Linked DNA regions of Oreochromis niloticus. The protein of the gene in region 2 interacts with the protein of the main gene of each other region in a pairwise test. Links are inferred from orthologs where the notes say so. Each region holds a gene or a part of one and is shown on either strand. Other genes may lie near its edges.

Region 1 (7,432 bases), about 830 kb from region 2:
CTGTCCTCTATGTCAGAGCTGTCTGATTCATCTGTGTATTCTTCCTCTACCTCTTCTTCTTCCTCTTCTTCAGGAACTGACTGACCTGAAGACAAAAAATAAATAAATAAAAATGCCATAGCATATCTCCATACAAAGAAAAGAAACAGAGGAGCACAAGCTTAGTAAGTGCTTAGCATTGACAGTACCTGCCATCCTTAACATCATGGCTTGCAGAGGTGTAATGGCCTTGGTCTTCTTCACAACCCTCTTCTTCTTCTTTTTTCCGTCACGGGGTGCCTCTGCAGGCATATCTGCGAAACGTACGCTACGACCTGCAGTAGTCAAACAATAACAAATTCAGAAATACAACAGAATACAAACAGTTGTAAGATCAAGAGATAAATAAAGGCAACAAAGACGTGAGCTGAGGCTTAAATGTGTTGAAGCAGTCAGAAACACTCACCACCATGTCTTTCACTTCTGTCTCTATCTTCTTCTCGTTCTCTCTCATCGTCCTGCCTGTCCAAGCGCATTCTCTGTTCGCCATCTCCCCCTTCATCTCTCTCTTCTTCACTGATGTCTTCAGAGTCGCTGTCGTCATCAATATCGTCCTGATCTCTGTCGCTCTCACTCCCGCTGTCCCGATCTCTCCCCAAATCCATTGCAGAGTCCTTTTCAAATCCAGGAATGGAAGGCTCTGTTCAAAGGAGAAATAGTGTAACAAGAAGAAATGTTAAATTATAGGTGAAAAAAAATCATTTGATTATCAGAGGGAAACTGGCTGTATCTCACCTGCATCTGTGCCGTAACCGCGTCGAGCAGGTCCATACAGTGCCAGGACCTGAGGAGGTGGGGGGCCAGGTGGAGGCCCAGGGGGCTTCTTCCCTGGAGGTAAGCGTGGGACACCTGGCACTGTTGCCAATGCTGGTCCGGAGGACGATGGTCCTTTACTAAGACATGCATAAAAACAGAATTAACTCAACTGCACATTAAAATTCTAAATGTCACATACGGAGTTTAACTGCTGAAACTTTTACTACTCATAGAATGAGTCTTACCCAAAAGTGGAGCTCTTCTTCAATATGGAGGGAGGCTGAGCCCCTGGTAATGGGATGTCCTGGATGTGGATACTGGATGGGGCATGAGGCATGTCTGGTAGAGGGATACTGTCAACCTCCACCAACTCTGCATTCTGAAAAAGAGGAAACGTCACACAACAGAGTAAACAGAGAGCACAACAAAGGATAAATAAGGTAATGGAGCACACATCTGAAGCACTCAAGCTCAAGACAAATAAAAGACGAGTAATGGGTTTTGGTGTCTCCCCAAAATTTTAATAATCCTGACTTTTAAGATTTTTTTCCAGGCCAACAAGGCGTACACAAGCCTGTAGGAAAATGTGCATACAATATACCTCTCATCCCTGCATCAATTCATGCAAGATTTATTATAAACTGAGGAACCCCGCCCCCCCAAACTGTCATGTAGATTCAACACACCTTGACTGAGTCAAAATAAAGAGACAGCTGCCCTCTTTTGGTCTCATAGTCCAGTTCAAGTTTGCGTAGCTCTTTGTAGGTTTCGGGATTCTCTCTTTCGTACAGACGAACAATGCGCTCAAATGTCTCACGCAACTTCTTCCTCTTGTCCCGCAACACCTTCTCATTCAGCAACGGCTGCTGAACTGGGTTGAACTCTGTTCAGAAACAAAGTAATTATTTTCATTAGAAAAGCAGCAAATGAATTGTAGAAATCAGATTTTGACTGTGATTTTCTGCTGTTACCTAAAGGCCTGAAATCCTTAAATACACACATGAATTATATATAGTATAACTCTACTGATACACGTGTTCCACAAGCTCAGGTCCTCTACTAGTGGCAAACATACAACTAAATAGCTACAACTAAATATATTTCTAACATGTAAACTCCATAAACTCAGCCCTGTCATCTCACCCATCTCATCCAGCTTCTCCATGTCTCTGATGATCTGTCTGGGATCCTTCATCTTCAGGACTGCTGCTCTCACCATCATCCTCTGCTTCTTGTTCTAATATTTCCAAAAGAAAATGATGTTACCATCATATTATCACAGTATTATTATCCTGCATATTTAGAATTATCTTCTTTTAAAAGTGAATGGTTCTAACCTTTTTTAACTCCCTTTTTCTGGCCTCCTTTCCTGTAGGAGTGGGGGTTGGGGGGAGAAAGAAATGACCATTTTTATATCTAATCAGCAACTGAGCATTCAGGAGATCAATTCATGATTGAATTAGCGCCAGTTTGTTATCAGCACTTACTGGCCTGGTCGGTGGGATTCATAAACTTCCCACTCTTGGTGGAGGAGGTTGAACGTCGCCCCATTGTGACGGTGGGTCTGCTTCACGCTGCCATGTAATACAGCAAAACAGAAGAGAAGATAAATGTAAAGGAAACCATACGTTGTTATTTTATGGTACGTTCAAAAACAAGTCGGAATTTGTCACAACGTAAAATAACACTTTTAGCTCATATTTATGAATCAATGACACTTAAAACAATGTTTGAATTCATTTTTGACAAACTGCAGTCTCCTTTTTGTTAATTCTAACTTCGATATCAAGGCAATTTAACCAAACTGTCTGCAATACACACCTTAAAGAACTTTACTGTTAGCTATTATTAGCAAAGAAGATAAGAAAGTTGACAATCAACGCACGACTCAATCTAAGCTCCCCCAACATCTATGTGTTACGCTTTTGCACAATTAAACTATTGAATGAGCTGAAAAACACCACAGAGCCAATCACACTTTTGTAACACAAACACACAGACATATATATATATATATATATATATGTTAAATCATGCCGGTCAAAAGCATTTGCTTGGCAGGTTAGCGGCTAACGTTAGCTTGCACTTATAGCTAGGCCCGCGTTAGCAACGAAAGCAGCACAGGAGGGAAAAATGCACTGTACCTTTTATTCAGTAAAAACTCACAGGGCACAACGCCCTACACACACGCACACCTCCGTGTGCCAAAAGCAATGCAACGCGTTTTGCGTACGCCCTTAAAGAGAAATCCAAACCCCCCAGAATTGAAAATCACACCGTGGCTTCGCTAACCGTCCGCCATGTTTACTGCCGCGAATGAAAGCGGAAAGGCGATTTTGACGTCATCAAAACAAGCGAGCAGTGAAAGAAAAATAAAACTAACTGGACAAACGGTATTATTTAAAACTTCACTTTATAGTATTTGTACATATACTAGGACTTTATTATTTTCATATTGTATGGCGCAATGTGGCTCTAACGATAACGAAGGGTGATTCTTGTTACAGGATCCAAGACTGCACTCTAGCGATACTGCCCCCCGATGGTTACAAGTAGCAATTACAACCTCACTGCACTGGTGTGCCAAAAAGTGGTCGTATGTGTTGGGTTGCGTATGCCAATCACTTTTTGCGTGGTTTTTTTTTATGTCTAGATATCTTTTTATGTTTGTTTTTTTGTCTAATATAGTTGCTTATATTGTTAAATAGGCTGCAGTAAACAGAGTTTAAAAAATGGGTTATATGTTAAATAAATCCAATTTGAAAGCAGCTCTATGAATCATTATATCCATCCATCCAGTCCTTTTCGGCCACTTGAAGAACATCACAGTTCTTTAAAGGACTGTGATTTTTTATAACTTCTGCAGCCCTCCAGGCCAGACCTCGTTTGAAAACGACATTTTTAATGTCAGTGACACCTTTTTACCTGAATAAATGAAGGCTGCATAAAAGTCACATCTGATGAAAAGAAGTTTCTTTTTGTATAAGACAGTCTGCAAACAGAATGACATAAATCTCTAGCATTCTGCACTTTATTCAAGGAAGTTAAGTAATGTGTTGTCTTTAAAAAGACAAACGTGCTAGTGAATTAAAGTTGGATGTTATGTTTTGTTCACAGTGCCTGAATATATATTATGGTCAACAAGGACTTCAAATTAGCCATTTTGATTCAGATAAATAATAATATAAATAGTGATTTTTCAAAATAAAAGTCCTATGGAGGTTTACAGTTTTCATCATGTGATCCAAAAATCTGTGGCTGTGTCCTGATTATGGTTGATGCGTTTTTAAAATCAGTCAGGCAGTCATGAAATAGTTTGAAGAGACAATTATTGAATGGAAATGCAGATGTCATCCAGCATCACATTTTTGTAGTACTGTGCAGTGCATGTTCTCAGAGAGTGACCTTAAACAGTTGTCCAAACACACAGTGGAATATAATATACAGACACACAAACTTGTGCAGAAATTACATTTTAATCATTAAAGTCACATCTGAACTATTTACAAAAACATTTGTCATATATTTACAGTAATTTTATCTACAGTTGATTTGTGTGTTTCACAGTTTTTGATTGTATGTCTTGTAGCAGTGCTCCTGCTGCTCTACATTCAGTTTTCCTTTCCTCTTTTGCTCGGTGGATGTTGAGGATGTGGCTAACTCGAAATGTCAAAATCATAGTTTGGGAGTTTGACTTTTTGCCCATACACCATGTCAATGTGTTCAAGTCCATCCTCGTTAGTTGATGTCTGCACCACAGGACGATTCAGTCTCTCCCACAGCTTTTTCTTAATGCGTCTCCCCAGCTCTAAACTGTAGGGACGAGGGCGGCCATTCTTGTACCTGCAAAAAGAAATTCAATCAAAATGATGCATGTGGTCAAAAACCTACTGTAACCATTTTAGAGCTGGCGATTTTAAAAAGTGACAGGAGATTTGGAGACAAACGTACGTCAGCATGCTATCTACCACCTCATGGTAGAGTCGCTGATAATCTTCCACTGAGAGATTGTGGATTTTTAAAGGGCTGTCACCGGAGCTGGTTGGCTGGTGGTCGGTACTGCATGGCTCGGGTCTGGGGGGCATTTTTTTTGCCACTGGCAGGTCGTCATGTGAGATAGCAGAGGGAGGCACCGAGTTCTTTCGAGGTTTAACCAAAGGTCGGGAAGAACTGGATGCTGGGCTTCGCTTCCTTTTCTGGGGCTGACTGGCTATTCTATCAGAGCGCCGGGGCCTCAGGGTTGAATTAATAACCTGGAGAAAGGTCAGAAGCACACAAGGGAATGTCAGTAGTTATTAATGACCTCATTTTTTTCAAACAAGACAAAAATTTAAATTTGATGAACGACATGGAAGTCCAAACTCCAAAATCCTTAAATGGTTCTGTTAATGAAATTTTACACATCCAACCTGGTCCTTGCTGCAGCATGGTTGTTTGCTGCAGGCTCTGGGTTTCTTTGCATCACGGGCCCGGCATGCAGTGTTTTTCATCCGATAATTATGGTCTTTGAGGTGAACGGGCACAGTAAGCTGCAGGTATACACAAAAATGACAGTAATGCAAACATCAGTTAGTAGTTCATGAAACATTTAAAAACAAACAAACCCTTTAATATGTCCAAAAACTACTTAAACCACTTGCATGGTTGAATAACTTGTCCACAGTGAGTGTAACGACAAAAAATATCCAACATGTTCACAGAAAATCATAAGAACTAAAACCAGGACAATGCATCAAGGTCAGTGTAATAAAAGACTGTCAACTTATGGGCTCATCATGTTAGAGCTTCACTGCTGCATACCCCCAAATGACATTTCAAATAATAATTTACATAAGTTAACAAACACCAAAGTCCATGTTGTATTAAACTCTAATTTCTGTTATAATCATTGCTGCTTATTGCCGTTTTTGAACAATGCAGATGCACAAAATACCTTTGTAACTGGCTAAGCTCGGTCATGTGTGGTTTAAATGATTTTGAGAATTCAGATGATGCTGAACATCATTGCTTGCTAATTTGTAAATAAACATTTTAGGGATTAGCTTTTCTACAGTGAATAAAGTCTCAGTGTTTACTTTTTTTATCCCCCCAAACAGCAACATGCACCCCCCCTGGTGATCATTATGCATTTCAGTTAATCACAGATGTAGGATACTCTACTTATTAGCAAAAACTGAACATTTTTTATCTCAGCTGCAAACTTTGGTGACATGTCTGCCACAAGATCATTTAATACACGCAAAAGAAAACATTATAGGTAACATGCAAGTTTAAATGATGCACAGTTTACCCTGTTTACAGCTAGAGTGCAACAGTCTAACATGCAAGCATAACTCCCACGTGTGTAGGCCTAAATTGGGAGTTTTTAATGCCTTTTATTCACATATATGTCTTCTATATTTTCACGTTGCCCTGTTGGCAAAGTGAACTCTTTCAAAACTTCCAAACTATATTGAAAACGGTCATAAAATCTCACCTTGTCCATGACGGATGATGGATGCTGGGTCGCTTTCCTTCGTGACGGTGGGAGTTGAACTCTTGTAAGGCTGCAAGAAGTCTTGAGCAGAAAGGTGTCTTACTTTTGCAGAAATTTGCAGAAATTTGCAGAAATCCCTTGTAGCTTTGCACAACACGTCGAGTGAAATGTGTCTGAACTATATCAAAAGATGCAATGCAAATAGAACCTGGGGACGCATAGCAACCACGCTCGCTTAAATCACGCTTTTTTGTACCTACTGTTAAAAATCCCTGTAATAATTATTTTTAGTGAGTTTTTCCCCCAGTTCAACTTTAGTTATGGCGGCTTTTTTTTTTTTAATATTTGGGCATCCACATAATTACTGCATCAAAGTGGTGCGTAATGATCATATGAAAATACGTCAGAACAGAGCAAAAGTGGTTTAGCTGCCACAGCATATCACATCAGCTCATTGTAATTAAAAATACTGGACTTCATAAGTTGTGCTTATTTTATAAATGGCCCGGAGAGTAGCAAATTCTCTCTTTCTACTCACTGTACTGAACCCGCTGCACTACCTACTTTGACCAATAGGTGTCAGCATTTTACCGTGGAAACAGCTATGCTTTGTACAGCTCCAAAGTCAATCTCTAGAGCGATGTGTTGCAGAAATAACTTCTTTCCAAAAGGTGTCTGTATAAAAATCTCTCTTATGCTCTGTCAGTTTGCAGTGCCTTAGTCTTTGGTGGTATTTCTGACCGCTCATGCTCATGAATCCACATGCAACGCACTGTCTGTCCCAGCCTCAGAAATGGATTTAAGACGATTTCTTTCGATATATCACCCTGTGGTCAGTTTTTGACATTCGTTTTGTTGCGGTCTTCAAAACAGAAAACAGTTACATCTGAGAGAAGATTTTAAATAAAACTAAAAGGGACAATTATATAATACATAAGAGACTTTATTGTCAGTGAGTCACTGTCACAGTATCACAACCAAATTAGGTGGTGCAAGAAAAAAACAAGAAAAAAACCCACAAAACAAAAGTTAAATAATACCAACACTAAATACTAAATTCTGAAATGCCTCTATGTTATAAATGTAAATGGTCTGGTTTTTATACAGCATTTTTCTGCTCCACTTGCACACTCAGAGCACTTTATACAACATGCCTCATTC
Region 2 (7,378 bases):
GCACACATGACATACCAAGCCCACGTGAGGCGACGTCAGTAGCAATGAGGATGGGGGCTTTGCCACTCCGAAACTCTGCAACATGAGACGAATAAAAGGTGATTAGGATCAGTTATTCAATTTAATTCAGTTCAGTTTGTGTAATTATGCAAGCAGAGCCAACACATGGTTCAGGGCAGCACAACACAACAGTGCAAAGACCTGCCATACAATGAAATGTCAGTGAGTGTGTTTATTGTACCTGCTAATACCCAGTCTCTCTCTGGCTGACTCTTGTCACCATGAATACACATCGCTGGCCACCTAGAAGACAAATCAGCAACTTTAACAGCGTGTGCCTGTGTGTGTCTGCTCTTTTGATTTTCTCTACAACCATTCATCTGATGTACTACAAACCAGTGATGGGCAATTCAAGCAAAAGTACAATTCAATATTTACAGTGGACCATTTTGACAAGTCTTCAATTATTGCTCCTAAATGACTGTGCTTAGCTAAGGCTGTGGAATAGCTTAAAAAGCTCCAATATCTCCAGTCCATACACACTCCAGTGTTAAACTGCCCAACTTCAGCATAGACCATACCACTGGGTGACATCATGGTGTCCATTCTTTATTACAGTCTGCAGTTAAAACAGATGCTGGGATGAGTTGGTATACTCACCCGTCACGTCTCATCCTACGTGTCAGGTCATCACACCGTTTCTTGGTCTCAACGAAGATGATGGTCTTGTTTTCCTTCTCAGCCATAATCTCTTCCATCAGCTGGATAAGCCTGAGAAAAGCAAAAGAAGCAAATGCATTATAATTAAAGGGATGTAAACGCACACACCAAACACAGCAGATGCTGTTATTCTTAATGTGAGAAAATAATTCCTATGTGACCAGACCACCAAACTCTTACTTTTGGTCCTTTTCGCTCTCCACGCAAACATCAACAATTTGAAGGATGTTGTGGTTAGCGCTGAGCTCCAGAGCTCCAACATTGATCTGGACATAGTCCTTCAGGAAGTCCTCTGCCAGTTGGCGAACTTCTTTAGGCCAGGTAGCGCTCCACATCAGAGTCTGTCTGTCCGGCTGGGCAAAAGAACCCACCAAGTAAAACACTGTACACTAAAACAGCTTTGACTTAAAACACAAGAGTAAGCAGCAGAAAACAAAAAAACCTAAGAAAAAAACAAAAAGACAGATATAGCCTTTGAGTATTAGCGTTTACCCTGATCTGATCCACAATTTTGCGTATCTGTGGTTCGAAACCCATGTCCAGCATGCGGTCAGCCTCATCCAGAACTAGGTATGTGCAGCGCCGCAGGTTGGTCTTTCCAGCTTCCAGGAAGTCAATGAGACGACCCGGAGTGGCGATGCAGATTTCAACACCTGAGCGAGACAAAGTTAGCATGTTTCAGTGTGTAATATAATCAGTTAAACTGAAAATAAATAAGTTACAGACTAATCGAAAGTGGTTCCCAAAAGGACACAACTGTATGATTGCATGCTGTAGTAGTCTTCACCTCTCTCCAAGTCTCGTATTTGAGGTCCCTTGGGAGCACCGCCGTACACACAAGTGCTTTTGATGCGTGATGACTTTCCATAGTCATATGCCACCTGCTGGACCTGCTGAGCTAGTTCTCTTGTGGGGGCCAACACCAAGCACTGCACAGCACATATATAAAGCCACATCAATCCTCTCTTTAGTGTTTGTTAGTTTTATGTTGTGCTTTGAGGTCTCTAATACAATTAGGTTACTCCAAGGCAGACTACTCAGTGATTAGTGCTCTCCTTTTCTCTTCACGTACAATGGGTCCATCTCCACGCTCCAAGTAGGGCTGATGATTGATGTGCACAATTGCAGGCAGGAGATACTGAAAGAAGAAAAATATGGAAGACTGGTTAATCTTTCACCTGTGAAATTCATCTGTGTGATGCGTACAGGTGCAGAGGAAGACACATCTCACCGATAAAGTCTTTCCAGAGCCCGTCTGAGCAATGCCCACCATGTCTCTCCCACTGAGTGCCAAAGGGAAACCTTGAGCCTGAATGGCTGTTGGTTCCTTGAAGTTTTGCTGCACCAGTACATCCATTACATATTCTAGTTGGAAGAAGCAAAAATAAGGGACGACAAAGTTTCTGGTTATGTATGTCTGCAAACTGTCCACAGTGCTGCAGGTGTATCCATGAGTGCATGTGCTTACGAGGAAACTGTGCATGATGGAAGCTGGTGACAGGTTTTGGGCAGCCTGAGCCTCGGACTGTGATTTCTTTCTTTCTGCGATACTCCTCAACATCATACTGAGAACAAAGAGAAGAAAAGCAACAAGTGAACACAGACTAAACAACACAACAGGTGCAGCTGAAGGTCAGACTGTGACATGACGGACATAATACCTGGCTCATTCGCTGCACTTCGGAATTTTCATTATAGAAGTTTTTCTCAAATTTGGGAAGCTCATTCAGGTCCCATCTCTTCTTTCGTAAGCGTTCCCCGGGATTCCGAAACTTCTTACCCGGGGGTGGTCCGCCTCTGCTTGATCCGAATCGGGGATTGCTGGAATATGACAACGAACTGTAAGGTCAAAGCAACCGCTGCTAGTCACAATAAAAACATATAATAGGGTTTTATGATAACTAACTAGCATTAGCTGACAAGCTAACTTAGCAGTCCTCTTACCCTCTGTCACGACCACGGTCTCGGTCTCTGTCTCCGTAAGAACCTCTCATTTTGAGGGCTCTTAGTAAGTTTTCCTAATGGACCTTATCTTCTACAGGTTGTAAGGCTTTTGCTTACAGATACTTTTTCTGGCCTTGCTTGAAAACTCCAGAAGCTTCACTCGGCGAGACCGTGAATTAGCTTGGACAACTGACTAAATCAAAAATAAATTAAAATGTCGTCTTCGTAAATGCCTGCTGAAAAGTTAAGTAGCACAACCCGCCATATTTCCTTTGTGACAAGCGTCGTTAGGGTTGCAATAGTAATAAGACGCAGGAGATGGTTCTGTGTTGTTGTTAGCTTAACACAGAACCGGAAGCTGCTGTGACTGGCTGGCGGCTGGATAAGCCCCGCCCCTATACTGTGAGTGACATACTCATGGCACGCGTACGTCTGTTTACTTACTTGGCCATTTATTAAACAGCTTTGGAAACTTAATGCAATACACTCACCGGCCATTTGATCCGGTTCACGTGGTCAGCTGCTCCTTAAAGCAAACAGGCCATCAAGATGACCCGCTGAACTACAAACCGAGCTTTAGAATTTAAGGCGATTTAAGTGGCTTTGAAGATGACATGGTTGTTGGTTCCAGTCGGGCTAATCTGAGTATATCAGAAAATAGTGAAATATTACGATTTTCCCACATAACCGTCTCTAGGGTTTACAGAGAATGGTCTGAGAAAGAGAGGGAGGGGGGATAACTACTAAATAACAAAAGTAGAGTAAAAAGCATATACTGTCCAAAACATTACTTGAACAATAGACTCTGTCAATGGTGTTTGCAGGGGTTCTAATATTTTGCTAATGAGAATGATGGAGTCTACAAGCCTGCAAAAACTGCCAGAAATGTCTTTTTATTTTACTATTCATCTTTTATTTCTTTTTGAAACATCAACAGAAATCAATATAGCATCAAAACATGTGATATTACCAATATACAAACAAAAAAAATATCATACAACAAAAAAATTAAAAATAAAACAGGAGTATATATGAAATGAAACCATCAAAACACAAATATATTCAAACAGAGCACTATACCAAGCAATGGCGTCCCATTGTCGTCGTCATAAAGGTTTTGCAGCACTAAGTTTGACTTTATTTACAGCGTTCCTTCCATTTGGATATAGTATTTTCTGGATTAAAATACAATAAGCTTTGCAAAATTATGATCTGATAGTGTTTTGAAGAAAATGCTCAAGTATGAAACGCTCAGAACAAACACACTCGACCTTGATTTTAACTGAAGCAATGCAGGTTTAGTAGAAAGATACACAAGTGATGCGGTCACTGGGGTGGGAGGCGGGTGGCGGCTGGATGGGATGTGGGTCACAGATGGAATCCAAACACTTTCACCCACCTTCTCTTGACCGAATATGATTTTCTCATTAGGACATAAACTGAAAACACACACATCACTTTGGCTGGGTTGACTCCTTTTCTCGCAAAGGGTTGGGCGGTGATGTACTATGTGTCGACCCGCAGTCACTACCTCCAGTCTGTTAAATGGATATACACTCAACATAAACAGAATCTCAGCTTTTATACAGCTGTGCTCTGCCATTAAAACATTTAGAACCACAAACCACATGCGAGTTATATACCAGCCACTGTGTAAACGCATATTAAACATAACTGGATAAAATATGAATGCATAACTCAAACAGTTCCAGCCATCTTTTGGAAAAAGAAAACATAATGCCAACCAGAGGATTTCTGGCCAGCCTGAAGGTGTTTAGTCACTTTTCATGTCCCTGTACTGACCACCAAGTTTAAAATGCTCAATATATTCAAGTACAAATGTGATTTCAATCTGATTTAAAGCCTTGTTTTCACCAACATATCTTCGCATTCTCTATCTGTAGCGACTGACAACGTGACATATTTGCCGCTGCTGTCGTAGTGATGCCATTACAAATGACACCAGCAGAGGCAGCGCCAATCTGTGCAGCATGTAATGCCATTAATTATGAGATCACAATCCAGGGTGCATCACAGCTGGGCCGACTGTGCAGGAAAGTGTTGCTCCATCAGTAATCTGTAATCTGTGTGGGCGCTGTCCTTCCGTCAGTCCTCCTGCCTACGCTAAAAATCTCTCCTACAGCTGTTACTGTGCTTCTCCCCAAACAATAGAGAGTCTGGCCAACAGCTGGAATGCCATTACATTACATAATGATGACATCCTCAGTAAACTCATAAAATTTCTAGGATAACAATAACATAAACCTTCGAGCTCAAACAACATTTAGATAAAATATTTATTTGTCATTGAAGTCATATATTAAAAATAACCCCTGCAATTCAAAGGCTACTTGAAAAAAAATTAAAAAACAATCCTAAACTTTAAGACAGTGTCTTGTTATTTGGAGCACAGGGTGCTATTTGGCAATATATAGTTACAAAGAGTGAGAGCACTAGCAGAGAGGTGAGGAGGAATATTGATTATGAATCAGTGTAAAGCGTAAAGAATAAAGAGGCCATGTGTCTCAGAAGAAGATGGCACTTACTTTCTCCAGCTCATATCTAACATTTTTAATGCCATAGTGTCATTAGTGCAGGATTAAGATGGTATAATGCAGGCACAGTTATCTGTACGAATCCATTTTCCACGGGTGAATACAAAAATCGCATTTCTTTCAGCGATGGCCTAAAATCACAACTAAAACAACACAAATAACAGCTTGGCCAGTTAAAGAATCAACCTCACTCCTCCCTCACTTTATTTGTAATATCTACATTCTTTTCACGCTCCTCATTTCCGTGCTGTAGCAATCATTTCCTTTTTCCTTAGAAAAGGACTCTGCCCTGTCTCGGTTTCAGCAATCTGGCAACCATGACATAAATCTGATCTTTCACTGTTATCTAAATGTGAAATAACCAGAACCACAGCCTGAACTTCCACGTTGAGGTCGGAAAAAAAGATCAGATTCGTCTTCCATGGCTGCTAAAAACTTGAGAAGGGCTACAGGAGTAAGGGTTAGCTTCCGAGTGTGTGTTTGAGTCTCAGAACTCATCATCAGAGCTGAGTAAAAGAGTCTTTTCGTTGTCCCCGCGGGTGCTGATGTTACTGTGGCTGCGGGAGAGTGGTGGCCCTCCACTTCGCTCTAATGTGGACTGCTGGGTGTACTGCTGATAAGCTGGGGAGAAGTTATGGATGGCGTCCTGGACCATGTCTCCTGGATTCATCGTCTCCTTCAGGCTGCTGGAAATGCTCTTCATTGGGGCACAGCGACCTGGAGGTGTGATGGGAAGGTGGTAAATATTAAGAACGAGACACTGAATGGAAGCGATACATGAGCGAAAAAAGAAAGAAACTATGTTTCCATCCCAACTGCCAGCTGGATTGTCCAAATAAACCTAAGCAATGTTGCAAAGAATATAAAATATATTAAGATAAATATTATCACTCCATCTGGCATATTTATTATCAAGGCAAGGGTTTACGACAAGGGTAGGACCACAGACTGAACAAAGTGGGAAGGCAAAATGACGAAGGGCGGAATTAACTGACAGCAAAATAAATGAAAGAACACAAAACAACACAGCGAAATATCCATAATTTCAAAATCTAATGGAAACATCAATATCTGCATTTTCTATACAATGCTGCAAATGAAACACTGAACTGAAACACATAACACAAGCGATGGAAATGTAATTTCCTTTTAAACCACAATCAAAGAGAAAAAAAAGACATCAAATTCCATTTTAACATAAACAACTGAGTCACATACAGACAAAACATAGCTAACATCAGACGTACCGTACTGTCCATAGATAGGAAATGAGCCTTGAGTGCCGCAGAGTGAAGGAGGAGGAAAAGGAGAGAAAGAGATAAGAAACACAAGAAGGTCAAGATGAAAATAAAAGAATAGAAAAGAGGGCAGATGAAAAGAGAACAACTCAAAATAAACAGATTGTTAAAGATAGGAATCAAAGTAAAGAGGGAGGGACACAAAGAGTGAGGTCAGATTAGCTTTGAAAGACTTCATCAAGAACCCTCTGTTAATCACATAATTACAATATTATAATACTCTGTTAGTTGCTCTTTGAACATTTCACTCTCTACTACAACCAGACATCAAGGCACACACATAAACATGCCGCTTACCATATGAATCCAGCCTTTTGTCCATGTAGACCTTGTAAGTAAAAGCATGGCGCAAAGCAATAGCAGCAAAGAACATCTCAATGCAGATGATGAAGTTTTGGTAGCCAGCAGCAACTGTTCCCTCCCCCACAGAGAAATCAGCAGAGTTGATCTGGGGGATAGCGCCACACTTCTCCAGGATGGCCAACAACATCCCTGAAATATACAAAGATAAAATATGAAAACATAAATCAAAACAGTGATGTATTACTCCATGAGAGTTCAGCAACATTTGAATCTGTGCATGGAAATCATGACAAGAGACTAAGCAGCAACCTTTAGTGTTGGAAATGTAAGCGCAAGGCTAAAAAAAGTTACATTTTTCATCTGTTTTGATATTTTAAATGTGAAAATATTGATTCTAAGACTCTATTTCAGCCACATTACTGGAAACAACATCAATGCCCCAATGGGCCAGTGGCGAGCAAGCAGCAGTTCCCTTGAGGCTGGCTCCAAAGGTGAGTCAAATCTCATAGACTGATGTTAAAATGCCCAAAACTGGCACCGAAATAAACGTATTTGAAC

Evidence for each region. The genes of interacting proteins can lie anywhere in the genome.
Region 1: the proteins of probable ATP-dependent RNA helicase DDX17 (region 2) and wbp11 interact in a two-hybrid assay, tested with the Homo sapiens proteins (3 studies listed by BioGRID and IntAct). The link is inferred for Oreochromis niloticus from reciprocal best matches to the Homo sapiens genes DDX17 and WBP11.

Annotation. Positions count from the first base shown.
Region 1 is NC_031969.2:9,051,968-9,059,399, forward strand, and holds the start of wbp11 (WW domain-binding protein 11), read right to left. Parts: upstream 3,129-7,432; 5' UTR 2,940-3,128; intron 2,370-2,939; 5' UTR 2,347-2,369; coding exon 2,283-2,346; intron 2,165-2,282; coding exon 2,133-2,164; intron 2,033-2,132; coding exon 1,939-2,032; intron 1,679-1,938; coding exon 1,482-1,678; intron 1,175-1,481; coding exon 1,041-1,174; intron 933-1,040; coding exon 775-932; intron 680-774; coding exon 446-679; intron 315-445; coding exon 189-314; intron 86-188; coding exon 1-85. Other genes in the region: uncharacterized protein C22orf31, read right to left, coding at 4,452-4,638, 4,747-5,048, 5,205-5,324, 6,272-6,280. UniProt on the Homo sapiens protein: Activates pre-mRNA splicing. May inhibit PP1 phosphatase activity.
Region 2 is NC_031969.2:9,880,914-9,888,291, reverse strand, and holds the start of probable ATP-dependent RNA helicase DDX17, read right to left. Parts: upstream 3,041-7,378; 5' UTR 2,715-3,040; coding exon 2,665-2,714; intron 2,542-2,664; coding exon 2,382-2,541; intron 2,286-2,381; coding exon 2,189-2,285; intron 2,086-2,188; coding exon 1,952-2,085; intron 1,859-1,951; coding exon 1,793-1,858; intron 1,650-1,792; coding exon 1,508-1,649; intron 1,374-1,507; coding exon 1,213-1,373; intron 1,074-1,212; coding exon 901-1,073; intron 772-900; coding exon 661-771; intron 304-660; coding exon 242-303; intron 76-241; coding exon 16-75; intron 1-15. Other genes in the region: transmembrane protein 184B, read right to left, coding at 5,707-5,936, 6,467-6,493, 6,815-7,009. UniProt on the Homo sapiens protein: As an RNA helicase, unwinds RNA and alters RNA structures through ATP binding and hydrolysis.